Coturnix japonica: one gene and its partners. The protein of the gene in region 4 purifies or fractionates together with the protein of the main gene of each other region. This does not show direct contact. Links are inferred from orthologs where the notes say so. Each region holds a gene or a part of one and is shown on either strand. Other genes may lie near its edges. The genes, in order: VDAC2, VDAC1, PLEKHM1, RAB7A and ARL8B.

What was found.
Region 1: the proteins of RAB7A (region 4) and VDAC2 purify together in Homo sapiens (affinity purification with mass spectrometry; 3 studies listed by BioGRID and IntAct, with this or other methods). This does not show direct contact. The link is inferred for Coturnix japonica from reciprocal best matches to the Homo sapiens genes RAB7A and VDAC2.
Region 2: the proteins of RAB7A (region 4) and VDAC1 purify together in Homo sapiens (affinity purification with mass spectrometry; 3 studies listed by BioGRID and IntAct, with this or other methods). This does not show direct contact. The link is inferred for Coturnix japonica from reciprocal best matches to the Homo sapiens genes RAB7A and VDAC1.
Region 3: the proteins of RAB7A (region 4) and PLEKHM1 purify together in Homo sapiens (affinity purification with western blotting; 5 studies listed by BioGRID and IntAct, with this or other methods). This does not show direct contact. The link is inferred for Coturnix japonica from reciprocal best matches to the Homo sapiens genes RAB7A and PLEKHM1.
Region 5: the proteins of RAB7A (region 4) and ARL8B purify together in Homo sapiens (affinity purification with mass spectrometry; 4 studies listed by BioGRID and IntAct, with this or other methods). This does not show direct contact. The link is inferred for Coturnix japonica from reciprocal best matches to the Homo sapiens genes RAB7A and ARL8B.

The regions. Positions count from the first base shown.
Region 1 is NC_029521.1:12,479,437-12,483,599, reverse strand, and holds the start of VDAC2 (voltage-dependent anion-selective channel protein 2), read left to right. Parts: upstream 1-1,201; 5' UTR 1,202-1,300; intron 1,301-1,455; exon of another isoform or gene 1,456-1,588; intron 1,589-1,975; 5' UTR 1,976-1,996; coding exon 1,997-2,030; intron 2,031-4,163. UniProt on the Homo sapiens protein: Non-selective voltage-gated ion channel that mediates the transport of anions and cations through the mitochondrion outer membrane and plasma membrane.
Region 2 is NC_029528.1:2,129,626-2,134,004, reverse strand, and holds the end of VDAC1 (voltage-dependent anion-selective channel protein 1), read left to right. Parts: intron 1-1,303; coding exon 1,304-1,454; intron 1,455-1,941; coding exon 1,942-1,999; intron 2,000-2,742; coding exon 2,743-2,834; 3' UTR 2,835-3,716; downstream 3,717-4,379. Other genes in the region: C13H5orf15 (keratinocyte-associated transmembrane protein 2), read left to right, coding at 4,014-4,128. UniProt on the Homo sapiens protein: Non-selective voltage-gated ion channel that mediates the transport of anions and cations through the mitochondrion outer membrane and plasma membrane.
Region 3 is NC_029542.1:1,116,909-1,120,625, forward strand, and holds part of PLEKHM1 (pleckstrin homology domain-containing family M member 1), read right to left. Parts: intron 2,738-3,717; coding exon 2,592-2,737; intron 2,516-2,591; coding exon 2,322-2,515; intron 1,444-2,321; coding exon 1,380-1,443; intron 398-1,379; coding exon 240-397; intron 1-239. UniProt on the Homo sapiens protein: Acts as a multivalent adapter protein that regulates Rab7-dependent and HOPS complex-dependent fusion events in the endolysosomal system and couples autophagic and the endocytic trafficking pathways.
Region 4 is NC_029527.1:6,808,613-6,812,795, forward strand, and holds the start of RAB7A (ras-related protein Rab-7a), read right to left. Parts: upstream 2,988-4,183; 5' UTR 2,856-2,987; intron 1-2,855.
Region 5 is NC_029527.1:15,954,989-15,959,437, reverse strand, and holds the start of ARL8B (ADP-ribosylation factor-like protein 8B), read right to left. Parts: upstream 2,890-4,449; 5' UTR 2,759-2,889; coding exon 2,636-2,758; intron 1-2,635. UniProt on the Homo sapiens protein: Small GTPase which cycles between active GTP-bound and inactive GDP-bound states.

The DNA of each region.
Region 1 (4,163 bases), on a different chromosome or scaffold from region 4:
TTGCCTTTGGCTTACCCTCTAGTCTCTGAAGTCACAGGCTTTCTGCTTATTCACTGGCATTTCCCTGAGGTTACCTGGATATCCATCTATGTCAACTTATTTAAATGCATTGGTTTCTGCATGGGTCTGTTTTCTCCTTTGGTAGAAAAACAAACACTGCTTTGCTGCTTCTGAACTCGGTTCCTGCTAACTTTAACTATTTCCCACCTATTTTCTGCTGATTATAATTTTACCATCTGTGGTGAATGCTATCGGTCAGTTCCTTTTCAGGATAAGCCCTTGTTTATGCAGTTAGGCTTACCTTAAGGTTTCTTTTCCACTGTATTTTTAATCTTTGAAGGCTCAAATTTAGAAGGACAGATAATGACTGCAGGTTTGACCTAGAAGTGAATATAAACCTCTGATGGAAACTGGTGAGCACTACAGCTGTCTTTTTATTGGTTACATACATGTCTTCTTCAAGTAATCATGATTATAATGTATGGATAGACAGCAGCATTCACTGGGATTTTGTGTACTGCGGTCTCAGACAAAACTGTTTCACAAGGCAAGTGATTCAGAACTTCTTCCTTCAGGGTGGGGCAGTAAGTACTTCACTGGATTGCTTTAAAATGATAAAGCCGGACCATGACTAATATATATAAAAAAAAGCCACCCCACCATTCTGATGTAAGAAACTGAAATTCTATTCAGAATGAACTTGTATTATGAACAATTCATGCCACATTCATGTTCTTCCCCCTAACATCCAACCTAAAACAGAACTAGATGCTGATGGGCAGTTGGAATTTACTGCCGGTCAGCCTGCTTTAGTAACGGCTGAAAAAAAAAAGAAAACGGCTGCCGTACCATGTGTTGGAGGAAACCAGTAGTGCTTGTTAACGTGTATTTCATGTGATTCGAATATGATTTGACTCGCTTTCACTTTTCTGACGGGTTCTGACTGAGTACTTTTAAGGAGGCTGGGCCTGTGCCCACTTGTGCTGTGGCTGGTGACCGTTACGGGGCGGAAGTTTCTACTTGAGTTAGGCGGGCGGCTCGCAGGGCCTGCACCCGGTGTACGGGTCTTCCCTCGTGCGGGCCGCTGGACTGAGGAGCCGCCCGAGGCCTCGCTCCGCCCCGCGCGCTGCAGGGCCGCACCCGCTCTGCTGAGCGGCGGACGCGTCGCGGGTTCCAGGCGCGGCCGTTGCCGCCCTCCCGCGCAGGCCCCGCCCTCTCACGAGGACCCGTCTCCGCCTCTGGGGCTGCCGGAATTAGCGCCTGCCGGCCCACGTCGCTCCATCCCGGCTCCGCGCTGAGGGTACGGCGTTTCTCACGGCTGGAGCCTTGTGTTCCCGTGTGTGCCCGCGCTGGGGGTCTCTCGGGTCGGGCGGACGGGCGCGCGGGGCGCTCCGTGGGGACGGGCACCTCGCGGGACGGCCCCTTCTGACCGGGGTCCTGCGGGGCGGCGGCGGGCGGGCGGATCGGTGTCTCCTTCACTTCGCCCTCCAGTGCCAGCGGCTGCAGCAGCGCGGCCTCCTCACGGCCAGACCCGCCCGCGCCCCCGGTCCCGCTCCGCCCGGCCCCGCCGCTCTCTCGCGCTCGCCAGGTGCCGGCCCGGGGCTGGGCTCGTCCCGCGGTGCCGGGGGAGGCGGGTGGGGCGCGAGCGAAGGGCGGTGAGCGGGGCCGGGGCCGCGTTCCTCGTTGTCCCGCTGGGGGCGGTCGGGAGGGACGGGGTGTGGGGGGATCGGGACGGGGTCGGGACGCTCCGCCGCCCGCGATGGCCTCGGCCGTGCCCGGGCTGCGGTTACATAAGGGGCGGCCGTAGCGCCGGGGGTCAGGCGCGAGGCCCAAGATGGCCGCGCGGAGCGTTCACCTTGCGGCGGCAGCGGGCGCCGCGCGGCCCGGCCCGTAGCGAGAGGGGATCCGCGCTGCTTCGGTTTTGTGAGCACGGAGCGAACCGAGCGCTGTTTGACTCTCTCTCCCTTCTCCGTAGAGTCTGTGCATTGGCCTAGCTATGGCTACGTCGTCCGCGTGCCAGGCGTCGAGGTGTAAGTAGGGAGGTAGTTACAGCGAGGGTAGTAGTTCTCGTTTAGTAGCTCCGTAAGCGTAAAGGAGGTCAGCGTTAGATCGGACATGTTTTTAACGGTATTTTCAGTATCGGTTTATTGCTATTTTCAATGATAGGATACAATTTCACTTTAGTTGTTGCCGTTTAAAAGTATATATAAAAGTTTATATAATAAAAATATTATATATTTTAATACATAATACTTAAGTATTTTGTTCCTAATTCTGTGCCCTCTAGGCTGATCCTCAATGTCCTGAGGTCTGGAAATGGTTATTGAAGCCACTGGCATACCTTAATTACTAAGTGTGGGGCTCTTTCCAAGTATTGCCTCGAAAGAAAGCTGTGATGTAATACTTGTGACAGCCTTCACACATCTTGGCATTTCATTTTCTTTTTGCTTTGGAAGAAAGTATATTTAAGTAGCAGATTATTTCTTTTAGGTCTATATAGAAAGGGGGATAAAAAGAAAAAGTGGGATGCTTACCTGAAATAAGTATTTTCTATGTTCCTGAAATTAGGATATTTGATATCTACTGTCACAACAGGCTTGTAATTAAATTGTAGCTTTATTTTAGGTGCTTCTAATTAGTAAGAAGATGAAAGACGCTTCAAAACATGCTCGAATAAAATTGCTTCTCATCATAAGGATTTGCAAATCTAGTGAATTTTTCAACACTGGAAGAAACAGAATTGATATATTTTGGCCTTTAAAGAGCTTTCTGGTGGTGACCCCGGCTTACGGGGTGTTTTATGTACCCCCAAATAACATCTGCTTTTTCCTCTTGTGTCCCTGTCAGCGTATGAATTGAAACAGCAACGTGAAGGTCATAAGCTGTTTTAACTCCTTATCAGGAAACCTGGGCCTGTAGGCTGGAATGGCTGACAAGGATTAGTCAGTTTCCTGCAGTAGGGAGGATGCTTAACTTGGCCTGATAAAAACAGCAGTATCCTTTTATTGCAGTAATTCCACACATTTAGTTACAGGCAATTAAAAATATTATTTTTTAAACTTTAGGGCCTTAGCATAAATCTCTTGTCTATGATGAATATCTAGTCAGCTTGGGAACATTAAAGATGAAAGAAGTTTATACATACAGTCATATATTTTTATATGTAGTAGCCTTAAGCACAGACATGCATTTTGATACTTCTGAACTAGTAATAATTATTCTTCTGGAGACGGTAGTTGGACCTACTCAGAGGAAGAGTACATAGCTGAAACTTCTCAAAGCCCTTTTAAGCTACTAATGAACTGGACACCAGGGATTTGGAGTGAGAGAAGACCAGTGCTCCCACACTTTCTTCAAGTTTTGTCCTGCTTCTGTTACTTTTTATTGAATAAATCATAGAAACCATTTTGTCTCATCACTGGGACTCACATCTGTTTCTGCTATTGAATCATCTTTTCCTTAGGCTTATATTATTATTTATTTTTTTAAGAGTTTACTCCTCGCAAGAACGGATTTGTTTTATACTCCCCAGCAGGTGCTGGGTTGATTCCTTTACTGACTTCTGTGTAGAGTTTAGCGTTTCTTGCTGAAGAGGTTCTTGGTTTTTCTTTCAAACTAAGCTAAGCCTGGATGATTTTGCGATGATGCAGTTGAATTTTTCCTTTTGGGCTTTAGGAAGATGGAGAGAGGCACCTGGAAAAACTGTAGTAGATTATAGGAAACCAATGTTAAGGCACAAGACCTTTTTTGTACAATAAATGTTTTTAAAATAGTATTAGTTCATACAGTTAAGCTGCACATAGCAGTTATAATCAGTGTATATTATTTGTGGATGCTGTAGTTAAGCAGTCTGCTTTAGTGGAATGGTGCCCTTGGAAATAATTCTGGGACAGGTGTTTTCAAGCAAGTTTTCTTGTTTTGTTGGTAAGGCCAGAAAATACAGACTTTTAATTAAAAAAAAATGGGGGAGTGCTGGGAGGGAAGAGCCTGCTTTGATCCCATGTGACTAATGTACTGAACTTGTAGAGATCTGCAGGAGGTGAATAATTCTATAGTCAGAGGATGATAATTGAAATCTGGTTAAAAGTGCTTTATAAGAATGGAAAGCGTGTTCAGTTGAAAATTAATATACAAGAGTATGATCTTTGTTTTAGAATCTGAAG
Region 2 (4,379 bases), on a different chromosome or scaffold from region 4:
AGTTACGAGCTATTCCTTCAGGCATAATGGCTTTCAACTTTGTCATGCTGTAGTAGTTCCAAACATTGTACGATTGGCTTTTGCTATAAAATGCAGTCGTTACTATTACTCCTGATTAAAGCGACAGCAGGAAATAACATCAGAGCATTACAGCGGGCTCTGAGCCCCTGCTGCTGTTCCTTGGGTCCCTGAGGGTCTGTTATGTGGTCATTGTTACTATGAGTGGATGATGGATGATCTTCAAGAGGGCGCCTTGTTTGCTTGTTTAGTATTCGTACTCTAACAACTGATGGGCAAAAATGTAAATGCGTGATATGAACAGCAATGTTAATTATCGCTATTAATGGCTTAGCTGGGGGCTTATGGCATGTTTCAACTTTGAAGCACATAAAATCCAGGAAACTGTTGTATTTGGAATTTGCATGACTGGCGTGCAGGGTCATTATATCTAGGCAGTTTGGTGTATCAAAGGGTGCTGTGGCATGCCTGATGAATGAACTAGGTGGGGCTGGAAGCATCACCTTCTGTTCTGCCTGCTTCACAGGGCAGCCAGGGGCCTGAGCAAGTTGCTTTCCTTAATGGTGCCTTAATATCTGCATTTCCATAGAGGGGTCATGTTTTTGATCTATGTATGAAAAGTGTCATTATTATGACTAGAATTAAAGGGAGCTTCGATTTATTTACTTATTTAAAATAACTTTAACCTAATGTAATAATACATGATCACTAAAGGGAGGCAGGGCTGGATAATCTCTAGTTCTAAATATGGTTTTCCTTTCTTTTGGAGCTTAGCTCAGACCGCCCCTCACTAATGTTGCAGGTCAAGACAGAGCTGTATGGGAACCTTGCACAAAATCTGCCTGTGTAACCAGCTCTCCTCAGTCCTTTTTAATTCCTCCTTTTCTTGAGAGCCAAGCACATGAAGTTATGTGTGAGCTTCAGTCTTATCTGAAGAAAGTATTGTAGCCTTTTTCAGGAAGAATTGCTCTGACAGTTTAAAAAGCTGCTGCTATGGCTTCAGCTTTGAAATAGGCTGTCACTGTGCAACTGTTGTGAACCAGCGCTGTGCCTAAGAGGTAAAAGTGGCCTTTTAAAATCACAGAATCACAGAATTGTAGTGGTTGGAAGGGACCTCTAGAGATCATTGAGTCCAACCCCCCTGCCAAAGCAGGCTCCCTACACCACGTATGGTGGGTGGGGTGGTTGCATGTTGTGCAAATAGAGATCGAACTGAAGAAAAAGAAAAGCAAAAGGCAATTGCTTTGGGATACAGTTCAAACCTGCACTGCTGTGTGCCTTCCAGGAATGATGGAACAGAATTTGGAGGCTCCATTTACCAGAAGGTGAATGATAAACTGGAAACTGCTGTGAATCTTGCTTGGACAGCTGGTAACAGCAACACTCGCTTTGGAATAGCAGCCAAGTATCAGATTGACCCAGATGCGTCTTTTTCTGTGAGTGCCATACATTTATAAGCATTTGAATAACCAGTTTCTTGTAATAGGAACGTGAAGCAACTTTACATCAATGAGTAAAGTCCTTTGGAGGCAGTTCGCTGCTATGTGCCAATTCTGTTGCCTATTCCATTGGCACATGCTTCTGCTGGTCTCCCTTTTGGCCACACGGGAGCACAGTTATTGGATTTCCCTCAAAACTGATACAGAATGGTTTATTGTATTTATTGGGCACTGCTTGGAGAAATTTCCAGTCCATATTTTGGACAAAAATTACAAACATGGTCAACTATAGCACAGTTTCAGTGACTGTGGATGTGGACTATAGGTATATTGATTCTGCAGTTAAGTTTCAGTGAACTGTAGATTATTTTTGTGTGTGTGATCTGTTATTTATGCATTTAAAAGGCAATACATGATTTCCAAGTGAGTAGGGTTCTGAAGGAAGATAACAGATGATTTACGTGTGTTGTTTTTCTCCATCCAGGCTAAAGTGAACAACTCCAGTCTGATCGGGCTGGGATACACTCAGATTTTAAAGCCAGGTAAGTCTGTGCAGAAGAAATCCAGAAATACACAAATAGTATTTCAGTCTTGAAATATCAGAGAGGCTTTTTGCAACAGTACGTGGTTGGTTTCGTAACACTGCTGTTCTGTGTGGCAACCCAGTGGTGAACTTCACCACAGACTGCTCTGTTAGTTTGGGATGTCTGTTGGGATCAGAATTGCTAGACCACCAACCACTGTCCATTAGGTTCTCTTCTCTTAACACCAAGTCATGTCACTGAGTTTCTTTGCATGAAAATGTGATGTTCCCAAGGCCTGCTGGTTCAGGAAGAGGGCAGTCTTACAGCTGCCCAGTTGGTTTTAATGTAGTCTAAAAGATCTGCTGCCACAATACCATGCAGGTTGATTACTGCATCAGGTGTGGCTCAGGGCTTTTCATCCCAGTGTTTTAAAGAGGGTGAATAAGAGTCAAGGTCCCAGATTTTCATCATACCTGAGTCTAAAATTAGATTCATCTGTAGGCCAAAGGCAATGAACTCAACTGACATGTATGACAAAAAGTAAAATCTACCTGGTTTGTTTTATCCTGACTTTGAGAATTCAGAAAGATTTAATACTTGCTGACAGCCTGATAAAGTCCAGACGTTTACATGGCTAGCTGCCAAATGACATGAATGCAGCCACTCAGTCCATTACAGCAGCAATGCAGACACTGCAGTTACTGAACATAAGGCTCATTCCAAGTGTTAATCACTGTCTTCTCTCTTGCTTCTCTCTGCAGGTATCAAGCTGACGTTGTCAGCTTTGTTGGATGGCAAGAATGTCAATGCAGGTGGTCACAAACTTGGTCTAGGATTGGAATTTGAAGCATAAAGAGAGATTCTACAATCGTTAATTTGAGAATACAGCATAGCTACCTTCAGAATATAGTGTACCTTTCAATGTTGTATGTCTGGGATGCAAGTAATGCTAAGTATCAGTCCTGCTAGTCCTGGTTAAAGACAGCTAAGCTTTAAAATGTTTCAGAAATGGAGACAAAAAGCATTCTAAGAAATCCAGATTCCAGGCTTTTATTTTTTTTCCTGTTTTGGGTTGTTATTGCCCATCTTATCCGTCAGCTGCCGCATGATAGCAAACAGGGAAGGTATTATTACCTATACTAACATATTGACTGCACAAGGGATATGTTAGCGTGATACAAGAACTGTTATGTCAAGAGTTGCAGACCACTGTTGTACTGTTAATTCCTTATGCAAAATGCTCTGAAGGCCTCATTTCACTGTGGAATGTGCAAACTTGCCTGGAAAAAGGGATAATTTTTATGTTCTGATGGGTGTTTCACAAATGGTTCGTCTCGTTTGGTTCCTTTACACCTCCAGCTGTCTCCAGAACGCTTTAGGTCGTCTGTTTGTGTGACTCTGTTGCCGAGAAGGATTTGATGTGACTCAGCCAATGCTCCTTGTCCTGTGCTGTGGTTCCTTTCCCTTGCACTGAATGGAAGGCTTGTAAGACAGGGCTGTAATCAGGGAAGTGTTTGTACCTGCAATCACATAATTGTGTCACTAAATTGAAAATGGACTTTTGTTTTATTACCACTTGATTTTGTTTGTTTATTTTTTTTTAGCAATTAAATGGGTACATTTTTAGAGTCTTCCATTTTGTGTGGAAATAGACCCCGAAGTGCTGTACCTGACACTACTCAAACCGGAGACGAAACAACCAAACCCAAACTTGAATAAAACATTGAAACATCACTTTTTACTTTGGCTTTGTGTATGATCTGTGCCCATCGCTGTGTTTCTTTGGACCTGCAGGGCTCCAAGCTTTTGCTTTTTGGCATTAAAGTCAAGCAGCCATCCCGCAGCTGAGGGAAGGCCACTCCTATTCCTGTCAGGGCTCTCCGCTTTCCCGCCTTCCCGCGCGCCGCCATTTTGCCGCACAGCGCATGCGCGGTGGTTACACCAGAGAGCAGGCCTTCATTTCTGCGCATGCGCATCGCCCTCCCAGCGCCGGGGCGGTGCTGCCGCCACGTCTGTGGGAGTGCCCGGCAAGATGGCGCCCGGCAAGATGGCGGCCGCCGGCGGTGTGCGCTGCTCGGCGGGTCGCGCGCTGTGCGTCCTCCTGCTGTGCGGCTGGGCCATGGCGGAGCGCGGCGTGCAGACCCGCGGTGAGCTCGGCGGGGGGGGGCGGGCACTGAGGGCGCACATTTGTGGGTTTGGTTATTTATCATCGTGTTTCGGCCTAAAAGCCGGTCCGGTCCCGTCCGAACTGCCCGCCCCGCGCTCCTTCCCTTCTTGCTTTCCTCAGTGTTCTCCGTTGTGTCGTGATACGTTCTGCTCTGTGCTCTGTCCGCTTCTGTTGCTCTCCACGCTGTTCCTCATCGCTCCGAAAGCACTGCCTGCCATTTATTAACGCTGA
Region 3 (3,717 bases), on a different chromosome or scaffold from region 4:
GAAGCCCACCTGGGAATGGAGACCCTATGGATATAGAGCGCACCTGGACATGGAGCCCACCTGGGAGTGGAGCCCATCTGGATTTGAAGCCCACCTGGAAATCATGGAGCCCACATAGAAATGGAGCCCCCATGGAAATAATGGAGCCCACCTGGATATAGAGCCCACCTGGGAATGGAGACCCTATGGATATAGAGCCCATCTGGGAATAATGGAGCCCACCTGGATTTGGAGCCCACCTGGAAGTGGAGTCCATCTGGAAGGGGAAGATGGCGGCGCCGCGGGCGCAGATCTGGCAGATGAAGCCCCTCTGTGTGCACAGGTCGCAGCTGTAGACGTGGTGAGACGCAAACTGGATCGCGGAGAGCAGGAAGGGCTCGAAGGTGCCGTCGGAAATCTGTGGGGCACGGCTGGGTTATTATGGGCCTCAATGGGGGCAAATGGTCCTGCAGTGCTTGGAGCATGAGGTCCCCCTCCAAGGCATCCCATCACACCCCAATCCCATCCCAACCCACCCCAACCAATCCCATCCCATCACACCCCAACCCGCTCCAACCTAACCCACCCCAACCCAATCCCACCCAAATCCCACTCAAGCCCACCCATCTCAGTCCCATCTCAGTCCCATCCCAATCCCTCCCACCACGGCACCATCCCAACTGATCCCATCCACACACCATTCAACCCACCCCAATCCATTCCATCCCAACGCCATCCTACCTCAACGCCATCCCAAAAGATCCCATCCCAACCCCATTCCACCCCAACACCATCCCACGCCATCCCCACTCAACCCACTCCATTCAACCCATCCCACTTCAACCCAACCTCATTCAACTCCATCCATCCCATCCCCAGCCCATCCCAGCCCACCCCAACACAACCCCATCCAACAACCCATCCCATTCCCACCTATTCCAGTCCCACTCAACCCACCCCATCCCACTCCAATCCAATCCCTCAACTCCACCCATTCCATCCCAACCCCATCCCAGTTCAACACAGACCCATTCCAACCTACCCCAATCCCATCCCTACCAATCCCATCCCATCCCATCCCAACCCCATCCCATCCCATCCCAACAAACCCCATCCCAACCAATCCCGACCCAACCAATCCCATCCCAACCAACCCCATCCCATTCCAATCCAACCAATTCAATCCCAACCTAACCAATCCCATCCCAACCCCACCAATCCCATCCCATTTCAACCCATCCCATCCCACCCCCATGATTTCAGCCCCAAAGCCACAGTGATAACAGGAAACAAAGAGAAGAGGAACGCAGTGGTGTGAAACCCACATCTGCAGAAGGGCCCCATTCCATCAGCCCCCCATTCCATCAGCCCCCCACGGACACACGTCTTGGGGCGCTCACCTGCTGCAGGTCGGCCACGCTGAACTTGTGGGGGCACTCCAGGAGGTAATTCCTGTCATCGAGGCTGTAAATAAGCACAGAGAGGAGCTGGGTGGGGGCTTCCCACATCCCGGAGGGGTGAGGAAGAGCCCGCGGGGTGATGAAGGCTCCTGGGGAGCGTCAAGCTGACGCCGCGCCAAGTCAAGGCATCGCAGATCCTGCCATTGAAAATTGTTTGGGAGCATTTCAAAAGGGGGAAAAAGAAACGCTCTCATCTGTTTGCCCAGGTGTTTCCTGTTCAGCCCCAGCCAGGAAAGAGCTTCCTCCGGCCCATCCCCCTGCGCCGCCCCACGGACACACGGGGAGCTTCCTCCAGCAGATTCCATGGGGGGGAGAACAGCCCATATCCCATAGGAACGGCTGGTAGAGCCTGGGGGGGTCAGGGGCAGCGTGGTTTGGTGGGGGCAGGATGGGGGGCACAGCTTCCATCTGACAGCGCAGATGTGGGGAGGAAGGTCTGTGATCTATGAGGTCCCTTCTGACCCAACCATGCCCCAATTCTATCGCTCTCCCATCTTTTAGGTCCCTTCCAACCCAATTTCACCAAGATTCCATAATTCTGCAATCTTTAAGGTCCCTTCCAACCCAACCATTCTCTGATTCCATCGCTCTCCCATCTTTAGGTCCCTTCCAACCCAACTGCACCATGATAATTCTGCAGTCTTTAAGGACCCTTCCAATCCAACCGTGCCCTGGTTCCATCGCTCTCCCATCTTTCAGGTCCCTTCCAACCCAACTTCACCATGATTCCATAATTCTACAATCTTTAAGGTCCCTTCTGATCCAACCACGCCATGACCCCACAGTTCTCCAACCTCTGAGGTCCCCTTTAACCCCACAATGGCAGCAATGGTGACAGATGAAGCGAGGCAGCCCCCAGCACCAGGCCCTCGTGTTGCTCACCGCTTGCTCAGCTCCTTCAGTGCCCCACTGCGACACACACTCAAATAATCCCCCAACAGCTTCAGCTGCTCCCGGCTCTGGCGGATGCGCCTCATCCTCTCCACGTGGTCATAAAGGCTCTCGTTGACCAACTTGAGATCAATCAGCGGCTGCTTACGGATCTGGGTGAGGAACTTCAGCGCCTGACGGCAAACCTACGGCACACAGAGGGTGAGGGGTCACACAGAGGGACCCCCAGGTCCCCCCCAGGCATGGATCCATCCTGCTCACCCCTCTCTTGCTCAGGTCCCAGTTGTGGATGAGGCGGGAGGGGATGACCAGCTCGTCGTCCCGGTGGCAGCTGTCGCAGTAGTAGAGCCCGGAGTAGGAGCAGAGTTTGGGTTTGGCAAAGGAGAAGCCGATCTGCCTGGAGCAGCCTTTGGGGAGCAGAGAATAGAAGGTAAGAGGGGACCCCTGGAGCTGGGGGGAGATGTGGGGTGAGACATGGGGCAGGAAAACCTGGGAGGGGGGTGGATGAGCGGTAAAGCATGTGCCAGGGGGCTTGGGGTTCAGTTAGACCATGACAGACCAACGTCACACACGAGGCATCGTGACCGTTCCTGAACCCATCTCACTTTTAATCCATTATTTAGATGATCTTTAAGGCCCCTTCCAACCCAATCTTACTCAACACAACTCAACCCAACTCAGCCATTCCATGGCTCTATGATCCTTAAGGTCCCTTCCGACCCAACCCAACCCAACCCAACCCAACCCAACCACTCCATGGCTCTACAATCCTTAAGGACCCTTCCAACCCAACCCAACCCAACCCAACCCAACCCAACCCACTCCATGGCTCTTTGACCTTCAAGGACCCTTCCAACCCAACCCAACCCAATCCAACCTCAATTCCATGGCTCTATGATCTTTGAGGTCCCTTCCAACCCATCCATGCTGTGATTCCATGGCTCTGTGATCTTTGAGGTCCCTACCAAACTGTGCCTCTATGGATTTAAAGTGTTTATTCCCCCCTGCCCTTCATTTAGGACATCACAGCAGCACAATGTACTCCCCCCTGCCCACCCCATCACCGGGGATGGGAGAAGCAAACACTGAGATGTGCAGCCCCAGGAGAACCTGGCTGAGCTCCTGGGGACGAGCTGCAGCGCTCTGACAGCTGCTCCATCCCAACGGAGTCATGGGGACAGGAAAACTCCGGGTTCTATTTTTAATGGCTTCACTTCTCTAAAACCACCAATGCAGCGTCGGTGGGTCGGTGTCTGCTCCAGGGAGAGCCAGGGCCACCCCATCACCCTCCAGAAAGCTGCAGCATCCACTTAATTGCAACCTGGAGTGCTCTGCTAATGTTTTATGGAGCTCAGGTGGTGAATATCAAACAAAGAAGCCCAATGTT
Region 4 (4,183 bases):
GAGATCATTCGGAAAGGCTGCAGGGGGAAATCAACTCAACCCCAACAGGCAATTAAACTGCAGTTATCAAAACTACGCTGTGCAAAGAAGTGCTTCTGTATCTGAAGGATGCTGGATTGCTGTCAGACGAGCAGCATACAAGGCATAAACATACCAGCACTCAGTCAGTTCAGCACCCAAGTTCATTTTCATCTACATCCCCTTCTACCAAGAGGATCTCAGTACCAGCAGGCCTAGCAATAAGAGCTTCAGAGTGGGTCAGGTCACAGCCACGGGGAAGCCCAGGAGGCAGAGAACACTGGTAAGCACCAAACTCTCACTTAACACAGTTCAATTCTGTTACTAAAGAAACTGGTATGCTACAACAGGAGGGACTGCAAGCATCTGTGAGCCCAGGCAATCATAAGCTCATTCCAAAAATGCAAATATCCCAGTGCCTTATTCCACAGCCTTCATTCTAAGGCCAGGTACCAAGCACCATCTCTGGATGAAACATTTGAAAGAACATCCTCACCCAGCACAAGCGGTTTAGTTTACAGTCAAATGTTCAGTTCCACATGAGCTAGTCTCGTTCTTGCAGAGAAGTCAGACTAAAAACTCATACATGTTAGAAACAAATCTATATATAGTTTTGCACAGATGGTTTGATCTTAATTGTCATGTTTCCTCAAGGACAAGCTTCGCCAGAGATTCGCTCTGACAGGTAATTCAAATGACCTTCCAAGTCAACAGCAGTAGCTTTAAAAAGGCATTTCAGAAATTCAATCTGCTAAACCTTTTGGCCCACAGACGTTGGTTTTGGGGTAGAAAACAAAGGAAGATATTATCACACAGCAGAGATCCAACAGCAGAGTCTGTATGCTTTCCATTTACAATTCAGGACTCACCTGCATCACAACACATCTGTGCTGCTCTGGGTAGCGGCTGATACACTGAATTTGGCAGAAAGGAAAGGATGACTGTAACACAGTCACTGCAACAGTTATTTAAGCTTTTACCTTGGCATCTTTCCATTTTAAGGTGTAAGTCTCAGTGTGCCATGCTGAACTATTAATAGAGTATTTGAGGACACTGGCCACTGCATGACACCACGGACAAAAAGGAAGTTGAATTAAATGAATTTCAGACCTTAGCAGTTATACCTCATGCTGCACATTAAGAAAGCAAGAAACTGCTAGTGGATTTTTCAGAGCCTTCCCTATTGAGAGGTCAGATCTGACAGTTTTCCTACACCAGGAATATTAGCATAACAGCACAAAAGAAAGGGCAGCATTTTGAAGTGGCAGTATTAGAGCTACTTTGGGTTCTAAGGACTCAGGCATGGTGAGCCTGTTCATTAGTTCATGGAGAGCAAGTCATGTGTTCAGTCAGCTGTTGAGAGTCACAAGGAGGGGGGGGGGGAAGAGACAAGTATACTTGTTCTTCCTGAAGAAGTACAGCAATGAAGCTCTGATTATTAAACAAGGAATATTCAAATGGCTCCACCCAACACAACCTCGAATCTATCTCCTAAGTGCAGAGTACATTCACTTCAGCAGCCCAGCCCATCTGAAAGCACAGCAAGGCTGCAGCCTCTATCATGCATCACTAGTACCACCACTGATCACACACAGAACAACCACAAGGGAGCCCTGAAATCACAGCCAAGCACTACACACAGCTGGCAGGTAACTCCCCACTTTCCCAGCACAAGCCCACACCAAAAGGCACAGCTCAGAGCTGGCCAGCCAGGTGCTGGAAGCTTTAACATTTCCAATTCACAATTATCAAACAAAGAACAGCTTGCTTACAGCTGGGAGGACTTTGTTCTATCATGTGTTCTCAGTTTACTCATAAAAAAACCCAACACATATCCCAACAGCTCTGCTTATCAGCAAGTATTTTTAGCCTGCAGGAAAACAGTGTTGAGAATTCAATCTTTTACTCAAAGAACTCAGAGCTACTGGTTAAGATGTATTCATTCTGATGCAGTTAACTCTCTTCCTCCAGATTATGGCACTTATTTTTTTAAGCTGCCTTACTACTATAAGAAATCCACTATTTACAAGGAAGAAAACACATTTCACTTTAACACAACGATTAAGTATTCCTATATTCATTAGCCTCAATATACCTGAGCCATTAATAATGCATCCATCATTTCATTTACCTTATTATACTCCGAACAAAAAGCACTTCCAACATCCATTCCCACACTCCTTCGAACTGACTCAGGCTTTGCACACGCTGAGAGCTCCTTTCGCAATAACTGCCAGCCCTCCCAGCCTCACATTTGGCAGCATTAAATGCTCCCTAAGCAGCCCGCTTGTCTCTAAAGCAGCACCCAATGCCCTCTCCATCCCACCTGAAGCACAGTCACCATCTGACCACCCAACCCTCAGCACTGGGGGCAGCCCCAGCTCCGAGCCCATAGCGCAGCACGCCACATGCCACACACACAATGCGCTCTGCTTCTCCATGGACCACCGCATGGCTCTGACAGCGAGGACACCCACACACCCGCCTTTAGAAGCTCACAGCCCAAGGAAGGCCTCGGTAGCGCCGTGCCCGAGGCTCTGGGCGGAGGAGCCGTTTGCTAAGGATCCCTCAGCTCCATTGTTCCGGGGGAAGCGCCGATCCCGGCCCCAGCTCGACACAACAGCCCAGTATTACACTGAGAGCGAGCAGCTGCCACGGCGGCACCGGGCCCAGCACAAAGGCGGCGCCCCCCATACCCAGCCGGCCCCAGCGGCCCCTCCAGCCGGAGGGAGGGGCCTGAGAGGCCACCCCCCGCCCTGTAGTAACAGCAGCTGGGCCGGAGCCGGCACCCCCCGCCCCGAACCCTATGGCAGACACCCACACAGCCCCGTACTGACCGTGGTGCGTGTGGCCGCAGCGCCCGCCCGATCCTGGCTGTGCCTCCCCCGCTCGTCTCGCTCGGCTTTATCGGGCCCAACCACCTCCCCGCTTTCACTTCCGCCTCCCCCCCCTCAACAACTTCCGGTCACGGGGTCCGCCCGGTGTCATGACGTCATCACGGCGCCGGCAGCCAACGGGAGGGGGAGGGAAGGGAAGAAGGGGGAGGGAAGGAAAGGAGGGGGAGAGTGTCACGTGATCGCTCGCTGCCCGCCGCCATCTTGTGCTGGTGGGGAGGGGGGAGCGGGGTCGTTCCAGTTGGAATGATTTGATTGTACATTTCACTTTTCTTCCTTATTACACAATACAAAAAGCAATCAAGGGCCGTGGGTAACATTTCCTCCTTCCCTCTCTATCACAGAGCGATCCTGCCGCCCATCTCTGACGTTATTTAGTTACACAGAGGATAACCTTGCATTGAGTTAATGGCTTTCTTGGCGTGTCCCACAGCTGTGTCTTGCAGCAGCCACCTCTGGTCCATTGTGGGACATTGAAGAACACAGGAATCCTGGCTCTCAGAAGCATCACTGCCTGCAGAGAGAGCCTTATGGTCTGGGTGCTTGTCATTGGGCACAGATGGCAGCTAGATATTATAGCAAACAGACATTTACCACTGCAGGAACCTCAGCATATTTCATGTGCTGAACCAGGAAGTAAGAACGTCTTCAGCTTTGATTTGTTCCCTTTGTGACATCTAATCTCTATTTGCTTGTCTGTGCCATCCAATGAGGGATAATAAAACATCATCTCTTTGGTCCTTGGACTGGAAGGGATCCTCCCTTCCTCTTGCCAGTCCATACAGTGGCACAGTGAGCAGAAACAGCATGGACACAAAAAGATTCACCGTGTGCTGATTGCAGAGAGGTCCAGGAGCCAACCTGTACATTGACTTAGCTGATGTTCCTTGTAGTTTCTAATGCACTCACCCACTTCCCATGGACATACAGCCATCCCACCTTGAACCATCTGCGATGTTAAAAGCTTAGAGGGAACCTGCTCATTCTTCTAGTACTTGCCCAGACTATTTCAGCTCACCAGAGTCCTGTGTTCCCTCTTCCTCATTGCTGCTCACAGCACTGGGACCCTTTGTTGCCTCTTAGGTCTGGAAAGATAAAGCTCCAGCTGACCATCCTGTCATCCCTGTGTGAAGCTGTCCTCTCAAGAGCTTTGCAATGTTTTTCTCTTGCCCTCTTTTGCTTTCCAGGCCAGTTTCCTCAAAAAAACTCATCGTAATGTCAGAACTTGCTAAAATAAAATTGAAAAAAAAAAGGAACTAAGCTGCAGCAAA
Region 5 (4,449 bases), about 9.1 Mb from region 4:
GATTGGTGTCCCACCATTCACCAGCACTGCCTGCAGCCTGGAAGCCATCGGTTTGCTTGAGTCACGTTGCAGTTGCATCACATGACAGTGGAACTCAGCTGTCTGTCCCATCTCCCCATGGCAGCGTGGCCGTGGCCTGCAGCTCTGCTGGGTCTGATCAAAGCCTGCTGACAGACACTGGCTGCAGAGATGCAAACAGAAGATACTGCAGACTCCAGAAAACAATGGCTATCCCAGGCCCTTAGATAAGTAGCTCACAATTCGAGAGGTGATAATACTGAGATGACATGCAGTTTCACTGAAAGGAGCCACAGGCCATCCACATTATGGAAATTAAAACCAGGAGGAAATGACATCCTCCCTTGTGAGCAAGTTTATTCATGCACATGGAAAACTTATGCTAAATATCTAATTAGAGACAGTGACTAATGGGGAGCCTTAGCAAAGCAGAAGCTGCATCCAGCTACAACTATATTTCACTGCTATGTTTTTTAAACCTACCAGTCAAACTAAGTTTGGTGTGATTATAAACTGAGAGCTTCTTCACACTGAAGGAACAAACACAGGCAAATCCTGCTCCCAGCCTAGAAAGAACATTCTAGAACCAGACTCTTTGCCCTCCATGGCATTTCCTCTTCAGAGGCAGCCGGGAGTTGTATCAACCCTCCTAGGTAATGGACTTCAGATTTCCTTTAGTTCCATGTGCCTGATCTGATTGGGTACCCACGTAAGACAGAAGATTACATTAGAGATTTACATTAGATTAAATTCATGTTGTCAAGAGACTGGTAACGCTCTTTTGTTAGGCAGAGTGCAACACCCTGAGCCACATCCTGCCATGCAATCCAGCTTTTAAAGCTGCTCTATCAGGCTAGCACCGTGCTGTGTCATTCATTTCAGTTTTATGGAATCCCAGCACACAACAGCTACTTCCATCCAAGCCATTAACCGGTCTACAGGGAGCAGGTATTCTTCTCCAGCACTGATCTACTAACACACACTCTGAATTAAGGTCCAGGCAGCACAAGACACAAGGTTAGCTCTTCATGCTGTAGACTAAAGTACTGTTCCTGTAAGAAGCAATATCATGCTGACAACAGTCCATGCTATTAGTTTTTTAAAGGTATGAGCAAGTCCCCTCACTCTGTTTTGCTGAGAGTCACCAGATTTCCTAATTAAAAGCTTCAGAGATGTGACTTGCTACTCCCAAACGTAAAACAGTTAACGATGCTGTGCCTTACACATAATGACTTCCTTATTTCACTCGGTTTTGCAAGCCAATTTGAATGACACTCACTCAGATAAATTTCTGGGTGTGATCCTAATAAGCAGTTAAAACCTTGCAAGCTTCAACCTCCAGCAAAGCAAGCTGGGCACAGTTGTCAACTTTGCTTTAAGTAATTTTGCCACCTGGGACAATCTAGACAGCTGAAGACACAGTGCAATTAACTCTGCAGCAGCCCACAGCACAAACAACACCATCTTGAGCTCCAAAACACAAGAAAGTAGTAGCTTGATGTGTGCCATCACCATCCTAGGCAGCAAAAGAGTGAAAACCTGCAAAGTAATTCCAGTGCTCGAGTTCAGCTGAAAACCACACATCAGTATCAGGTTGACAACCACAGACTGAATGGTTCAATGGCTGAGTTCCATCTGCATAAATCCAGGACCAAAAGCAGGGAGAGCCAGTAGCATGTGAAAGAAAAGGCTTCTGGAGTTCTCACATGAGTCCAGCAGCTTTCACTTCATACAAGCAGGCTGAAGAAGAGGCACTTTTTACCATCTTATGTAATTATCACAGCAGCCACGAAGCACTGCACATGAGCTCCATTGTGTTTTGACGTGGTAAGTGTAACAAAATGAGAATGGCAGTGTCTCTTTTACTACTGAGTTACTCATTCAAATACGTATATAAAAACACTCAACAGTGTACACAGCCTCAATGTACACAGCCTCATAGAAGAAGTTGAAGTGCGCTTGAATCTGAAGTAGAGCACATCAGCCCTCTGTTCTAGGTGCATTCAATTCAAGCCAGTCATGCTCCCTGCAAAGCAAAGGGTACCTTCACCTCCGTGTCAAGCTCCCTCCACCAGCTGACACATTGCAGCTTGCCCCTGGTCAATGCTCTGCCGAACAGGACGCTGAAGGGGCCACAAATCTATCTAAACAAGGGAGTCTTTTTCACACTCAGCAACAGCAGAGCTCTGCGTAGGAGGGAAGGCTCTCACACCCCTCCTGCATCTGATAAGCAGGCCCAGGTTCAGCAGGCTGCTGCTGCAAGGCCTGGAAGTTGTACTGCTTAACACAGCTCAATAACGTGCATGAATTGACGCAGGATTAAAAAAAGAAAAAATAGGGACAACAACGGGGTGGGAAACATCTACAGCGTTTACTGATGAGCGCCGAAAAGACCAAGCAGGGAGCGCAGCTGATGACACCCGGAGGCCGAGGCCTGCACAGCCCGCAGCGCAGCCGCCCCGGGGACGGGCACCTCACCGGGCCCAGCCCCGTGCAGGCCGCCCCCAGGCCGCAGTGCCCCCCCGTGACACAGGGACAACGCGGCGGCCCGGCTCCCAACCCCCGGCCCGGCTCCCAGCCCCCGGCCCGGCTCCCAGCCCCCGGCCCGCCCGCTCACCGCGATGACGTTGACGAACGTGGTCTTGCCGGAGTACTGTAGCCTCACTAGGGTCAGCATCATCTCCTCCTTCCAGAATAGCACCTGGAATGAGTCCAGCAGCCGGGACAGCAGCGCCAACATGGCTGCGGCGGGGCGGAACGGCCGGGCACTGGCGGGAGAACCGGGTTCGGCTCCGGCGGCTCCTCGGCACCGCGCGCTCCCTCACGGCCCGGCTCGCCCCCGCGCCTCGGTCATATGACGCCGCGGCCGGGTTCGCGCGGCGCACCAGGACAGGCCGCGCCCCACAGCGCCCCCTATCGGCAGCCGTGAGAACAGCGCCCCGGGAGGACCGGCGGCGGGAGGGCGGCGCGGGGCGGGGCCATCACTAACAGAGGGGGCGGGGTTGTGCCCGCACCGCCCGCGTGTCAAAGAGGAGATGCGGCATTCAAGGAACAGAACTGGTGTATCCCAGGAGATCGAAACTCATCGCCATTGTCAACACAGACCCCATCTGAAGAGACGCTGAGCCCCCTGAGCTGCCCCTTCCTGGAGCAGGTTGAGGTTTGCTGCAGCAGTGCATCCCTCACCGAAGGATCTGGCAGTGTTCCGTTTATTGCTGTATTCAGTTAATTGCTGAAGCACGGGAGAAAATGCCCCCCCAGGTCCCCTTCTTCCTGTGGCTGTGCAGGAGGTGAAGCAGTCGCACTCAGGTTGCAGAGCCGGCTAAGAGCTGATCAAAGCAGCCAGATGCTGCTGGCTGTCATCAATTCAGAGATAAAGGTTTCCTGAAGCACACAGTGGAAGCAGATGTGCAGCATCTTATGCAGCGGTCGTGTTGTCAGTTATAGGATAGATGCACATTTCACTCCTGGGAGCAAATCTAATTTGCTAATTCACTGCTGAAACAGAATAGCACAGGAGTGATCCAGAACTTCCACAGCTGAAAACAACACAATGCCCCCTTCCCTGTATTGCAGAGAAACCTCCTTCCCCACAGGCTGCACATCCTACGTGGAGGAAATCTCTCATTCATGGTGTGTTTGCAGACAACAGACTGTGATTGGTATCAGCTGCTTGCAGAGCAGCAGGCGGGGATGCTGTGTCTGTTCAGCAGGCCTGGGGAAGCTGCAGAGCGTTGCAGGCGTTTGCAGGTTCTCATATGTCTGCGTTTGAACACTCTGAGTGCTCCTCCCAGTAAAGTCTGTGCCGTATCATTTGTGGTGCAACAAAATTTGCGTGTCTAAATGCAAAGGGATGATACCATTCATTGCACTGAATTAACAGCACGCTTTTTGCCTTTACCACAAGCGATGGGATTTCTCCCAAATCCCTTGCTCTGAGCTCAGCACTGAGTGCTAAGCTGGGCACACATCACTTTATTGACTGTTCCATGCAGGGTTTCTCAGGTCTTTAGACTTTGACTCTGCTTTGCAATTCTGCTGTCAGCTGTCTGCAGAGGCACCCTGGGAGTCTTTGTGCTCGTTATTGCGGCGGCACAGAGCACTTGGAGCAATGCAATTACTGCTGCCATGGATTGCAGGATGTTGCTGGCAGCTGAGGAGGACCGGGCTGCAGATGGCCATATTAGAAGAAAGAGCACATAAAGACAGGGCTCGGATCATCACTTTCTGTGTCTAGACATTTCCTGGAAACTCTCTGCAGGCTACAAACCATGAGAGGAGAGTGTCTGGATACAGCCAACGACACAAACCACAATTCCGAGTGTATTTAGGATAAATGCATCATTTATCTAAGCTGCAAATTACCTAAATTACCAATGACATATTGCTGTGTCATCAGAGGAAATAGAAATTCATTGTTGTGCCTCCATC